Linked DNA regions of Caenorhabditis elegans. The protein of the gene in region 1 purifies or fractionates together with the protein of each later gene. This does not show direct contact. Each region holds a gene or a part of one and is shown in the gene's direction. Other genes may lie near its edges. The genes, in order: mig-22 and sqv-5.

The links.
Region 2: the proteins of mig-22 (region 1) and sqv-5 purify together in Caenorhabditis elegans (affinity purification with western blotting, with the first as the bait; one study listed by BioGRID). This does not show direct contact.

The regions. Positions count from the first base shown.
Region 1 is NC_003281.10:8,762,808-8,769,285, reverse strand, and holds mig-22 (Chondroitin sulfate synthase mig-22), read left to right. Parts: upstream 1-1,950; 5' UTR 1,951-2,011; intron 2,012-2,067; 5' UTR 2,068-2,076; coding exon 2,077-2,295; intron 2,296-2,345; coding exon 2,346-2,645; intron 2,646-2,729; exon of another isoform or gene 2,730-2,762; intron 2,763-2,890; coding exon 2,891-2,977; intron 2,978-3,024; coding exon 3,025-3,137; intron 3,138-3,204; coding exon 3,205-3,910; intron 3,911-3,990; coding exon 3,991-4,143; intron 4,144-4,501; coding exon 4,502-5,211; intron 5,212-5,268; coding exon 5,269-5,395; 3' UTR 5,396-5,747; downstream 5,748-6,478. Other genes in the region: mtss-1 (Single-stranded DNA-binding protein, mitochondrial), read right to left, coding at 133-487, 763-827, 880-972. UniProt on the Caenorhabditis elegans protein: Has both beta-1,3-glucuronic acid and beta-1,4-N-acetylgalactosamine transferase activity. Transfers glucuronic acid (GlcUA) from UDP-GlcUA and N-acetylgalactosamine (GalNAc) from UDP-GalNAc to the non-reducing end of the elongating chondroitin polymer.
Region 2 is NC_003279.8:9,945,746-9,953,906, forward strand, and holds sqv-5 (Hexosyltransferase), read left to right. Parts: upstream 1-2,066; 5' UTR 2,067-2,363; coding exon of another isoform or gene 2,364-2,435; 5' UTR 2,436-2,457; coding exon 2,458-2,466; intron 2,467-3,341; coding exon 3,342-4,024; intron 4,025-4,464; coding exon 4,465-4,948; intron 4,949-5,196; coding exon 5,197-5,624; intron 5,625-5,824; coding exon 5,825-6,170; intron 6,171-6,220; coding exon 6,221-6,298; intron 6,299-6,812; coding exon 6,813-6,995; 3' UTR 6,996-7,642; downstream 7,643-8,161. Other genes in the region: T24D1.7 (uncharacterized protein), read left to right, coding at 2,364-2,435; T24D1.2 (RING-type domain-containing protein), read right to left, coding at 7,818-8,019.

The DNA.
Region 1 (6,478 bases):
CCAGGTATGCAATCAAATAAAACTTTTTTTTTTAAATATGAGATAATGTTTAATCAGGTAAATAACTCGTCAACAAAAACAACAACAATGGTCTATTATCGGAGATTCTAAATATTTAAAAAATTTTGAAAATTAATGTTGATCTGGATTCTCTCTAGCTGCTCGAGCCAATGGTTGAACAGTTTGAGCGATGATGTAGGTGTTGCGTTGTGTACGGTTTCCTTGTTCGTCCTTCTGTCCTCCAGAATAATGAAGTCTCCCCTGAACCATAAGACGGGATCCTTTCTTGATGGTTTTTGAAAGGATTTCGGCTTGCTTTCCGAAAACTGAAACGGCGTGACGTTCAGTTTGATCGAGAGTAGTTCCGTCTTGCTGCTTGAAGTACGAGTTGGTGATGATATTGAAGATGAGGTAAGGTTTTCCGTTCCTTCCAGTCTTGTACAATGGATCCAAGGCGACTCCTCCGACTAGTTCCACTTTATTCACACTGAAATAGTGATAATAAATAAATTTTGAATCGATATGATCTGAATTCAAAATTTGTTTTTTTATGCTTTCAAAATTGAAATTGTATCTTTCACAGCTATTTTACAACAATATTCGAACGACTTTTTAATAAGTAATTTTTATTGTCAATCGTTGCGTTTGTGCTTTTGAAAATTGTGACATTTTATTTTTTCTAGCAGGAACTTTGATACAAATTATTAATCTCCTAGTTCAGAAAAATGCAAGTTTAACATTTGTGTAAAACTCATATCATACCTGTATGCATGCCGTCTTTGTTCTGGGTTATGATGTTGTGGTTTTTCAGCGAACAAGTCATCAACCTGAAACAGACAAAAATTTCATAATTGCACAATTCGCTGTTTTTCAACTTACCTCTTGCTTGCTCGGTTGCTCAGCAGCCATTTTGGATGTCAATGACATACAGCGGACGGTAGACTTGGAGATCGTGGAAAGTGAACGAAGCATTTTCTATAATTTTGGTTTATCGATTGAGCAAAATATGAGTTATTTTTAAAAATTCAATATTAAATGTTCAACGAAAAGATTTAAACATAGTATATACATTTTACAAATAAAAACGGGCTCAAAACAACTGTTAAATATGGAAAAGCAAAAATAAAATTGCATTTTTTGTGGGCGGAGTTGAATCGCGCACTGTTGCAAGCCTGGCACGCGATTTCCGCAAACACGCCGCACAGTTTACTCAGTGTTTCTCTCGCTTTTCTCTTGTCATCGGTTTATTTTTATTTTTTAAGTTTCACTGCAAAAAACCACTTTATTTCTACAATTTTATTGATTCAAACCAATAAAATTTATCAAAATTCCGTTAAATTCAAAATCTTATTTCGGATTTTCCTATATTTGATTGTTATTAGATGTTCATTCTAAAACTACTAAAAAGATATTCATAATTCCAATGTATATGTTATTTTAATTATTCCCACGAATTATCTGTCATATTTCGAACTTAATTTCCTAATTCAATTAAAATTGAGATAAAATCTTGAAAATTAAGAAATTAGAAAAACATTCTCAAAATAGCATGTTATTAACGGTTTCACTGTCCTCGAACATTAAATTTTCTAAAATGACCTTAGTTAGTCAGGTCAAGTACAGAACATAATGTCTGCGTCTCTTTCAACTCAAGACTATCTCTTCAAACACCTTCTTACAACGTCGGCGTCGATCACAGCCTCTTCTCGTTTTTTTTGTCTTCCGTCTGCATCGCATACCGAAGAAGGTTGTCGCTCCACTCACATGTCCTGCAATCATTTTACGAGCATTGTCACACACATCTTCTATGACGACTGTTTTGCATTCATTCATAAACCCGTATTGTCTTTTCACGCTTTTCTTTGATCAGTTAACCTGTGTTCTGCTCATTCATGCTCAAACATCACTATTTGCTCTTGTTCACTTCACTTTCTTATTGTAAATTTTCAGAGCTTCTTCACAAGAAAACTTCGTTATTGGAATTGTATCAAGGCGTATTGCTGACTGTTTGGTACGTTTTTCACCGGCTTTGAAAAAAAGTTTAATAATTCTCTATTCCTTTTTTAGAATCGAAGAATGGTCGGCGGCGGTCGAACAGGCATACACTTGCTTCTTGGATTCCTTATAGGTGCCGCTCTCGCGCTCTTCTTCTTTTCATCCACACCAAGTATAGACTTGACCAGCTCATTGGCTGCATTTACATCATGTCAGAATCAAGAAACAGAAACGAATGTTCTTGAACCATCGGCACTGGAGAAAGGGCGAGTATATAAAGATTTATCTGAGCATTGGATTGTGAGTAGCTTTAAAAAAAACACAAAATTTCATGAAAGAATCAAATTTAGGTTCACCAAGACGATATGCCAGCGCCTCCTCATAATCAAGACGCTACTCCAAAGGTTACAAGAACTCGATTTGCAGCCACTGAACTCGGTACACGTGAACGAGTTATGGCCGCAGTGATGGCTGAGTCTGCATTGGCTCTTTCTATTAATGCAACTCTTGGGCGCCATGTTCCACGTGTACATTTGTTTGCTGACTCTTCAAGAATCGACAATGACTTGGCCCAGTTAACCAATTTGAGTCCATATAAACTAAACGGACAAAAGACGCATTCGATGGTTTTGGGTCTCCTTTTCAATATGGTTAGTTGAGTTGTTCAAAAATGTTTTTTTATGTAGTTGTCAACTACTCGTATTTCAAAAAAAAAAGTCATAAAACTATTTCAGAATCAATTATAATTGTCAATTGAATGTTTTTCAGTAAGTTTACCCCATGTTGTAAAGTCGATTTTGGTGTAAAAATTCCCCTGTTCAGAGTATCTCAATTGTTCTTTTTGGCTTCTTCCTGTCGGAGTTGCATTTCCTGATTAAAAATAAAATGTTTTCAGACAGTCCACAACAACTATGACTGGTTTCTACTTGCCAAAGATTCGACGTATATCAACCCATTCGTTTTGCTCAGAATGATTGATACGGTATTTTATCCAGTAATTGTTTTTGTAAAATAGTTGTTAATTGTCAGATGAATTGGAATGAACCAGTTGTGATGGGTGAAGCAGCTGAAGATGGAAGTGGACGATGCCGATTGGATACTGGAATGTTGCTCAGTCAGCCAGCAATGCATGCTCTGATGAAGTAAGCTTTAAATCAAAATTTTCACATTATGATAAACTGAAAAGTGTTTTAAACTGAATATTTTCAGCAATCGGAATGCTTGCAACAATTTCGCACTGGCAGCCGATGACGATCAACTCGCATTTGAAAAGTGCATTCAAATCGCAACAAATTTGACATGTAAGCCGCTTCATCAAGGAGTTCGTTATGAAGTTTGGCGAGGAGCCGAGAGAGCTGATTCGCCAGCTGCTCATGACTCGATTGAGGACTGGAAACATTCACCAGCATTTAAGAGAGCTCTTGCTGTGCCAAGATTACTTTCTGATGCAGATGCATCTGCACTTCATGATTATTTCGTTCGAGTTGAAATGCAAAGAGCTGATCGAGAAATTATCAAAATGGAAGCTGAACTTTCTCGTCTGGCTGAGCAAGAAGCTCGTGAAACAGGAGAAGCTATCAGCTGGCCACCAGCACTTCCACCGTATGCAAAACCACCAAATCGGTATCAAGTTTCGACTTGGGAGTACTTTACGATGACTGAACTCTTTCGAAGTGAACCTAATCAAAATGTTCGACGTCTTGAAGGAAAAGATTTCGATGATGTTGCTGAAGTTGTGGTGGCTGCTCGGCAGCAAGTTGAATCAGAAGAACCAGAGCTTGAATTTGTTCAATTGAGAAATGGATATCGAGTTTTTGATCCACGGAGAGGAATGGATTATATGGTTGATTTGACATATCGAAAGACTGTCAATGAAATGCCTGAAGTTGATAATCGATTTGAAAGTGATAATGAGGTAAATAAAAGTTCTAGAATATCTAAATCTAAATCTGAAACAGATTTTCTGAAAGTTTATAAATTTGTTTACAATCTCAGGCTGCACATGAGGAAAGTCTCAAAGAGATTGTTGTGGAAAGAAGAGTGCACGTTAGTCGAATGATTGCAAGTACGCAGCTTATGAACCAGGCACCATATGTGAAAGAAGACACAGATGTCACTGTCGTTATTCCAGTTGCTAGTGAAAAAGACGTTAGTTTTATAAAATTGAAAACCACAAAGAGAAGGGATTGTCGAAAAATGTTTATAAAATTTCGATTTTTCAAAAATAAAAAAAATGTTTTAACAAAAACTCAATTTTAAAAAAAATTGTTTATGTTGATAGAAAAATCATGAGAAAAATATACTTTTATTATTTTTAAAAAATATCCAAAATTTAAAGCTATTTTCGAAATATTTTAGTGTAAAATCGAAAATCAACATCTTTGATTAGAACTTATATATTGTTGAACATACAAAAAGTGTTTTTCTAAAGGTTTTTCAAAAAAAAATTGGTTCCCATTTTTAATTGTTTTGATATAAACAAATTGAAAATATGTATATATTGTAGGTTCTCCCAGCCCGGAAACTTCTTGCCAGACAAGCTCGCCTCTGTCTCTTCCCCACAGAAGAAGCCCGTAAAACTCGAATGGTTGTAGCCGTTTTCCCATTAATCGAATCTCGTTCAGTGACTGCTATCACTAATGATATGGAAGAATTAAAGCGACGATGCAAGCGATCACTTTTGGAAACAGATGTTCTTCCAGTACATCCTGCTGTTAGTACAGAAGGAAAGGGAACAGCTGCTGCTGCTGCGTTGGATGATGCTGTGGATCGATACGGAGCCAATACAATCTATCTTCTACTTTCTCCACATGCAGATGTTCAAAAAGAGTTCTTTGATCGAGCTCGTATCAATACGATTAAACATTATCAAGTTTTCTTCCCAGTTCCATTTGTTGAATATCATCCGACAATCTCTGGAATGGAAATGACAGAAAAAGAAGAAAAAGAGACGCCGACAGAACAAGCTCGTGAAGCTGCTTTATCACGATTAAGAGATGGAGTTGAACCAAAAAGGAAAAGAACATTGATTGTACAAAAAGAACATGGACGATTTGATTCTCAAGATTTCTCTTGTTTCGCCGTTTATGGTGTGGATTATGTGACAGCAAGAGCTAAATTCGGTCAAAATGAGAGACGGAACGACTTGATTTCTGCGTTCTTGGGACAAGATTCTATACATGTACTTAGGGCTGTTGAGCCAACTCTCCGAATTCGGTAAGATCGCCAAATTTTGTGTTGTTCCAGTGTTATTAATTAATGAATTACTTACAGATATCACAAAAGAAGCTGTGACATGGAAAGCATCGACACCGAAGATATCGCTCGTTGCCTGGACAGTAAAAAGGAAAACGTGGCGGCGAAGGATCAGTTGGCAAAATTGTTATTCCACGAAAAATGAACACCCTTCTACTCCCAACTTGTCCATGATATTTCTGCAAATACGGTTTCCTATTTTCCCTTTCTCACCTTCCTATTGCACTACAATTTTCACTTTGCCCTCTTGCTCCGAGCATAACATTTTCTTTTCATGTGAATACGATAATCCCGGCGGTTTTTCATTAAATAATTTTTAGCCCGCTTGCCACAACCCGATGCTTTATCCCCGTCGTCAAATAATTCATTTTTTACAGTTTATGTTAAATTGTGCCACATTTTTTAATTCACTAAACAAAGTACATACTATCTCGACCCGTCCACTTTTTCTATAATTTATGAATATCTGTGATTTTTAATCATAAATTTTTGTTTTGATTTTCTTGAAGAACAGTGCTTGTCAAAAAAAATCAAATTTCGCAGGCCTTGCAACATGATTTTAAAACAAAATATTTTGTTTAAAAGGAAGTTGGGCTATTCTTTTTTAAATTGTCGCAAAACTTAATATTTTACTACATTTTCTTTTTTTTTCTTTTTAAGGACATTTCGCATTAAAATCTCAAATTTTCCTTTGAAAGAACGGAATTATAATTATTATTTGAAAATTTGAGGTGGATACGGTAATTTTTAAAAGACGTGGTGAGACCCGCGCGCCCAAGATGTAGATTGCGTCTTTGATGGAAACTACGGTAAAGATGTTTTCGAAATCGATTTTTCTTTTCGGAAATTCTCCATTTTAAGTTTAACTCTTCAATTTATTATGTTTTTTTTTAATTTTCTATGTTCATTTCTGCCCGCAGAACGACAACGTGCATAATATGCACTGTAAAAGTGAGAAAAAACCTCTGGAATGATAAGAAAACCATTTTGCTCTCCTGTCCTTCTCTTACAATCATCGTTCTTTGCATTTCCTACGATTTCGTATATATTTTTTGTTTTCTGTTGTTTTCTAGACTGCGCACATGTGTTGAAAATAGTTGCGAACGGAAAAATATTTGTTCATTTCTTTTTGAAAAACTTCACTTTTGTTTAAAAAATTGCAGCGATAGAAATTTTAACAAACTGCTCTTTATCAAAACTAATTCAGCTAGTTTTTGTAATTAAACAT
Region 2 (8,161 bases), on another chromosome or scaffold:
TTCCTCGGATTTCGTTTATCAGGAGGTATAGCACACAAATCAAGGATTGACGACTAAAACATCGAAATCTCTTTCACATTATTTTTTTGAAAAAAGTGGTATTAAAATATTTTTAATTTTTTTGAAATTAATTTTTATGTTATTGAAATATTGCAAAAATTCTTTCCGGATTTTTCGTTTCGAATGTTAAAAATCCCAAATTAAACCCTTCTGTAGGAGCTGCTAAGAGTAATTTCCAATTAAATCCTAACATGCGACACCTTAAAATTCAGAAGGTTTATTTGTTTTAATAGTTTGGAACAAAGTATCCAAAACTATAAATTCTGGAGAATTTTATATAGATATCGGTCACTCAAGATAACCTGCTAAGAAAGAGTTCATCCTGACACCTTCCGACACATTTTTTTTTTCACAAAATCATATGTTTCAATCACTCTCACTCTCTCTCTCTCAATACCTTTTCCTTTATCCATTCAGTATACCACCCAAGTGTTGGATTTTATGGGCTGATGAGAAAGTGAGAACGTGTCAAAGTTTCACACATGTTTTGCGGTTCGAAAAGTTATCAACTATCCCTCTCTCTCTCTCTACTCTCTAATATATATCTACCCATTTTTATGTGTGTTTTTGTTATTTTTCAGTCAAGATTTGATAGATAGCTATTGAGTATGTGTTGTTAGTGGGTACATTCTCCCACCTTGTGATCACCTTTTGTTCCGCCTATTTTCACGCTCTCATCTTGAAGTATCTACATCAGTATCGAACATTTTGGCGGCGAGTGAAACTGAAAACAGTAGTTTTTGTTTCGACCCCTCGAAAATTTTTTGTGTTGCCAACTTTCTATTTTAAGAGGCCATCGGTTGCTAACCTATTAACCAGTTTAAATTTCAGACAAAATGTCTTAAGAGGGTTTGGACAAATTTATATAATAGGTGGCGCGCGATTGTCCGGCTTGAACTTTTTTTTCTGTGTGAAAAAGTTGAACTTTCACTATTACTCCAAAAATAAGTCTAGTTTCATCTTGGCTTACTGAAAAAATCCAATTTTCTCTTTGATTTATCGAAAAAAAAAGAACAAACTAGGTGAAAATTATGAATTTATCAAGAAAAGATGTATATTTTGATTATCAACATTTTCTAACAGAGAAATTATGGGAAATTTGAATTTTTACCGAAAAATCGAAAAAATCGTAAAAATCCTGGTTTACAAAACTAAGGTTTTGAAATTAGCTCTAACTAATTTCCTCATTTTCGTGTTTCTTTTCTTAATCAAATCATTATCGGCTGTCCACAAGATACCATAATTTTAGTTAATATGCAATTCCAAAGAATGCTTCGCTTTTTTATGTTAGAAACCATTAAAATCGAATATTTCCATAAATTCTCAAAGAAATCGGCCAATTTTCTTGCCTTTCTCTTCATCGGAAATGTCGCAATCATTCATAATCGAAAGGGGAAGTGAGTTTTATTCTTTTTCTCGTGCCTCGGAATTTCATGAATTTTCGCGTACCGCTCGTCGCCGTCACTTTAATTGTTGGGCCTCTGTGTTTCTTACGATCTTTCAAGTGCTAATTCACTGTCTTTCCCATCCGTTACTAGCCTTATTTTCATTCCTTTGTTTCGCTGATTCCGTTTCTGCAAAAATGAAAGAAAAAAAAACATTTTCACATAGACTAGGTGGCTGCGATCTGTTTTTTTCTTGCTCCTTGCTCTTTGTGTGTTTTCTCATGCCAACCGTTGTATTGTTTTTCATATCGTCTTGGTCTATGTTTTGTCGATATTCACTTTAAAAACTCAGATATTATTGGATTTTTTTTTTCAAAAGTTGAGTTTTTGATTTAGACAAAATTTTAAAAAATCTGAAATTCTTATAATATCAATTTTACAACAAAAAAATTCTGAAGAAATTTTTTTTTCGAATTAAATTTTCTAAAAATTTGAATAAATTGACAAGATGTTTTATAATTTGATAGACATATTGAAATTAAATTTTTTTTTCTAGAATTCTCTTCGTATACTTCTTCATATATATTTATTATTTTTAATTTTCATGTGTATTTTTTGCAGCTTTCTGCTCAAAGTTCCAACACGAGGAGCGGCGGTGCGGTGCGATTCGCGACGAAAATCAATGAATCAGAGTGCCATCTGACGTGCAATTATATGTCGCCACCTGCTCATCTTCTCAGTGTTAATCATCTTCATCAAATCCACGAGAAGTTCATCACAATCATCTCACTACGACCACCAACATCATCAGCAACAACAAAACACCTGACGAACACACCACACTATCCAGTGCAAACGTTCAGCAGAAAAAACACAGAAAATAACAAAAATAACAGTGAGAACCATCATCAGTCGATTTTGGATCGGAGGAGGAGAGAAGGCGGCGGACGAGGAGACGCAGACACTCTTGCTCGACGACTCATCCGGTAATCGAGAAGACACGGAAGAGAGTATGCGAGTGGTGAGTCATTTTTTGATATAATTCTAAAATCAAAAGAAATATGATTCATTTATGCATAACGGGGTCAGCAGATGAATGACACCAGTTTCTTCATAATGAACAAATTTTGGTCAACAATAGGCCTGAGTTTACGTGATTGTCGAAAAATTAAAATAAAAGCCTGTTTTTTCTTCTATAAAAATTCCCAGATCTGAAAATTCGTCATTTTTGTTCCAAGAAATACGGTACCCGGTTTCGAAGCGACCGATTTTCTCAAATGTAAAAGAGTGTGCTCCTTTAAGGAGTACTGTAGTCTCCAGTTTTTTTAAAACTGTTCAATTTTTCTGTTTTTCTAGAGCTAATCGAAAAATTGTAAATTTCTGCTTAAAATTTTTTAAATTGAAATCCAGTTTTTGATTATTCGGAAAATCGAAAAAAAATTTTAAAATAATAAAAACATTTCAAATTTTAACAAAAAATAATTTGATACGAGGAAAAAAGCCCAAAATTTGAAGTGATTTTTTTCGAAAACTCGTAAAATTTAAAATCCAAAAATAGTGTGCGCTTTAAAGGAGTACTGTAGTTCCCAACTGCTCGAAAAAACTTTCTTTGATGTCTCATAAGTTTCACCCTCCAAATTTTCTTCTTTTTTTTTCAACAATTAATAAAACATCGAAGAAAATTCCGCAGTGAGAAGATGAGAACTACAGTACTCTTTAAAGGCGCAAACTTTTTTTTAAACCGAAAATAGAGTGTTTTAGGTTTTTTTTTTGTTACAGAAAAAAATAAAATTCCTAAAATCTCTGAAATTTCTGGGAAAATTTTTTATTTCAGATTTGAATAAACTAAAAGTTTTATAAAAATTAAAATGCTCACATTGTTTAATCTATTGTCAGTTTCAGCGGAGCACATGCAGAATGCCGGTCTCCCGAGCCACCGTCACAATCCTACTCGGAATCCTGTTTGGTTTCTCAATCACTTACTATCTGACGGCTCTCAAATCTCTGACAAATCCAATAATCTGTGGCCCAGAACAACAAATTGGCGGTTTCGATTATCTCGATGTGATAAGTCAACGTGCTGATGCTGATGTTTTCACAAGATCCCAAAGTCTTCCCGGTCATCGAAGGGGTCTGATTCTTGTGGCTATTATGACTGCTGCAAAATACGTTGATACACGTGCTTATAATGTTTGGAAAACATGGGCTCAACACATTCCCGGACGAGTTTTAATATTTGTTGCCGAAGGAACTGAATCAGTGCATGAGGATATGCCATTAATTCGTCTGAAAGGAGTTGATGATACTTATCCACCACAGAAGAAAAGTTTCGCAATGGTAAAATGGTTGGCAGAGAATATGGCTGATGAATATGATTGGTTCTTGCGAGCAGACGACGACCTCTACATTAGAGGAGAAGAGCTCGCTTTATTCCTAAGATCTGTCGATTCATCCAAAGCTCATATCATCGGACAGGCTGGACTTGGTAACAGTGCGGAATATGGTCTTCTAGCTCTTGGATCTACCGATAATTATTGTATGGGAGGACCTGGAATTGTTATGAGCAGGGACACCTTATTGTACGTTGTTTTTAAGAGAATTTGTGGGGGTTTTGTCAAAATAACTGAAACTGACTTCTCAACAAATTTCCAAATTTTTGCTAAAATCTAAAATTTCGTCATTTTTCCTTGTTGCAGCTGCTGAAATACAGTTTTATTAAATTATCACTCTTTCATTGAGTAATTTGGTAGTTTATCTCGCACTAATTCGACGATTTAGTCACAAATCGAATTTATAGTTAAAATATGCAAGAAAAAAAGATTTTTGATAACAACTATATTTCAGCTTCTACAACAGGGACAAATTGATGAAATTTAAGATTTGAGCAAAATTTGGAAATTTTTTGAGAATTCTCACTATGAAATTCGACTGTTTCGGGGCAGTTTTAATCTATTTGATGAAAAACTCAAACCTTTTCTCTCTTTCAGTGATAACAATTATAATATTATATATTTTTCAGAAAAGTATCTCCTCATCTCGAATCATGCCTCCAACACATGCTGACTTCTCACGAGGACGTCGAACTCGGGCGGTGTATTCGAAAACATGTCGGTGTAGCTTGCACGTGGAATTATGAAATGCAAAAGTTGTTCCATAATAATCAAAGTGCAATCAAGGAGTCATATGCAAAAAATATGAAAGAATTGAAAGATGCAATTACTCTTCATCCGATTAAAGATCCAGCTGTAATGAGGAAGGTTCATCTTCGAAATCGAGAAATTAAACTTCGTGAAGCACGAGCTAAACGAAGTCTTTTGAGTTCGGAGCTCAGTACTGCAAAAGCACAGACATTGGTACGAATGACACCGAATAGAACGAATGATTTGACACCATGGGAATATATTAATAACAATAAAATTCTGTTTTGTGCGGATCGGGTCAATTGTCCTCGGCATACTGTAGATTTGAGTATTCGGACGGAAATGGCCGACACTATCACACAGGTTTGTTCAAAATTCAGATCAAGTATTGAAATTTTTAAATGCTTTTTTCGAATTTTCGGAAAATCGGAAACTCAAAAATTTTCGTATGTCTATTTCCAAATTTTCTGGATGCTACAGTACTTCTTAAAGGCGCACACTCTTTTACGCTATAAAATCGGCCGTGTCGAGACTGAGTTCCGTATTTTTAAAGCAAAATTCGCAAAAACATTCGAGTAAATAATTTTTCCAAAAAACTATCCCATTTTCAGTTATTCGACGAGTTCAACACAAATGCTCGCCAAAGAGGTCGTGTTCTTCAATTTCAAAGTCTTCAATATGGATACATGCGTGTTGAACCTACAAAAGGAGTCGATTATGTTCTTGACATGTTACTTTGGTTCAAAAAGTTCCGTCCACCAAACAGAACAACAATTTCCGTTCGAAGACACGCGTATGTTCAACAAACATTCGGAAAACTTCGAAGTCTCTCTGAAGGAGTGTTCCGATCAAATATGAGAGCAAACTCTACACTTATTGAAGATCCAACATTGCATATGATTATGCCATTAAGAGGAAGAGCTGCCATATTTGCAAGATTTGCTCAACATTTGAAGAGTATTTGTGCGAGAGGAGGAGATGATTTAGCTGTTTCATTGACAATTGTATTATACTCGAGTGAAGATGAAATGGAGAATAGGTAAGTTTTGGAAATTTTAAAATCTACCTATTTCGGAATGAAAATCCAATTTATAAATCAAAAATGAATGTGTTTACAAATATCGAACAAAATTTAATTGATTCGAAAGAAAGAATAATTTTTGGTCTAATTGGATCTCAAAAACTTTGAGCTCTAGAAGAAATTTTTAAAACCCAATTGGGATATTTTATAATTTACAGAGAAACGATTGAAATGCTCCGTGCAAGCTTCATCCCAGTAACAGTAATCGAAATGGGTGATGTTTCATTCTCACGTGGTGTTGCTCTTATGCGTGGAGCTGAAACTCTTCCAGCCAATGCTCTTCTATTCTTTACTGATGTTGATATGCTATTCACATGTGATGCATTGAAACGTATAAAATCGAATACAATTCTCAACGCACAAATCTACTTCCCGATCGTTTTTTCTGAATTCTCACATGAGAGTTGGTCTGAAAATGACAAGTTATTGGCTGACGCCTTCCATTATGGACGTGGACGTGGATATTTTAGACATTTTGGTTATGGTCTCGCAGCGATGTACAAGGTAAGATATTTTGAGAAAATATTTTTTCTTCAATAAATTTTTAATTTCAGGCGGATTTGATGGATGTCGGAGGGTTTGACACAAAGATCGAAGGATGGGGAAAGGAAGATGTTGACTTGTTTGAGAAGGTAATACACAAGACCAGGAATGCAAATTCAAAAAATCGCAAACATCCACTTTTCAGTGTGTCTAAAGAATGATCTGTAAAACCTACAAAAATCTTTTTTTATGTTTAGAATAAATTTGAAGCTTCTCTGAAATATCTCTTTTAGAAATATTTTCTGCGACTTCATTTTGACAAAATAAAAACTGGGAGTTTGTAGTTTTTTAAAATTTTTTCCATTTTTTTCGAAAAATTTTCCATGCAGAATTAAATACGCATGTTACAGAAATTCAACTTTCTTCTTTTTGCAAAACCCCAAAAATAGTTTTTAAAGTTTTTTTGATTTATTTTTGAGTCAATGCAAAAAACCGGCAGGCCCCGAGGGATAATCCATAAAACCTACAAAATTCAATTTTCTGAATATTCCTAATTTAGAGCGTCTCCGAAGTTGAAGAAGTTTTGAGTATTTTTTGTAATTTTTTTTGATTTCTTACCTGTACACAACATTGTATTTTCTTAACAAACTCCAAATTTTTCAGGCAATCAAAAACGGTCGTCTCCGAGTGATTCGAGTCCCTGAACCTGGACTTGTTCACATCTATCACCCAATTCATTGCGATGAAAATATGCCAACTGCTCAAAAGGATATGTGCCATGGTTCAAAAGCAGCAAGTCTTGCTTCAATTGATACACTTGTCGAGCAGATTGCCCAGTACACATGATAGCCTTGCCGGTTTTCCACCTCTATCTTCCCGTTTTTTCTTTCTCAATTTTCGAATTCTTTCCGTTTTTATGAATACGGTTGTCCCTCAGTTTTCATCCGGGTAATTATTGTTTCTTTGATTTGTTTTATCCACTTCTCACACTCACTTTTCCCCCAAAATTCCTTTATTGCATCCATTTGATTAATCACGATTATTATATATTTTCTATTCCCCGGTTGAGTTTTACCATTTTCCATCATAATTTCCTAACATTGCCATTTTCACAAGAAGCACACGGAGCTTGCCCCCATTTGAAGTTCAAATTTCAAATTAATTAATTCAGTTCATGTCAAATAATATAATAGTTCAGTTAATGACCTATTTTGAAACGAGTAATTGTCCCATGCTCCCCTATAAAGCTCAGCCTTTCATTGTTCAAATGTTTATTTCACTTAAAACATTATTGATTGTTCTTCGCTTTAAATTCCTTAATTCAATTGTTTTCTTTCATATTAATATGAGATTTCCATCAAATCTTTGATTGTTTCTAGCTTTACACAATTGTCTCACCATCATCATTTTGTCCATTCTGTTGCCATTTCTCTTCCCCCAACTACAACAAGCATCGGTGTTCTGTGCTTACTCGAAATAAATTAATTGATTGCAGAGTGTAGTAATGAACAATTGTGGAATCAATACTTTACAAGTTGTCATGTAAGACATCAATTTGACAAAAAAGTAAGTATAATTTAAATAACCACATGATAACGCACACAACTATAAAATATAAGAATGAATGAGAATCTTGGTACAATATGGGAGGAATAACCGAAATTAAGATCAATTGTTTGGGAGACTCGAAGTAGAAGGCAAAGATGAATCGGATGAAGTGTTTGCTGATGTTATACCGGCTTTCTTCACATTTTTCTGAATTGTTGTCATCATCAGAACACCGGCACGACCAGTCCAAGGAGCACGACAAAGTGGACATGATGATCCTTCCATTGAACCTTTACGGGCTGCATACCAACGACGAACACAACTGAAAATAGTCAAATTAGGGTTTTCCTTGAATTTTCGTAAATGAGATTACGACGTTTTTTTAAACGTAATTCAGAGAAAAATGATGATTTAGTGAGAACTTGGGTCCACTGGAACTAGCGATTCTTTTCAGCTACTCTCAA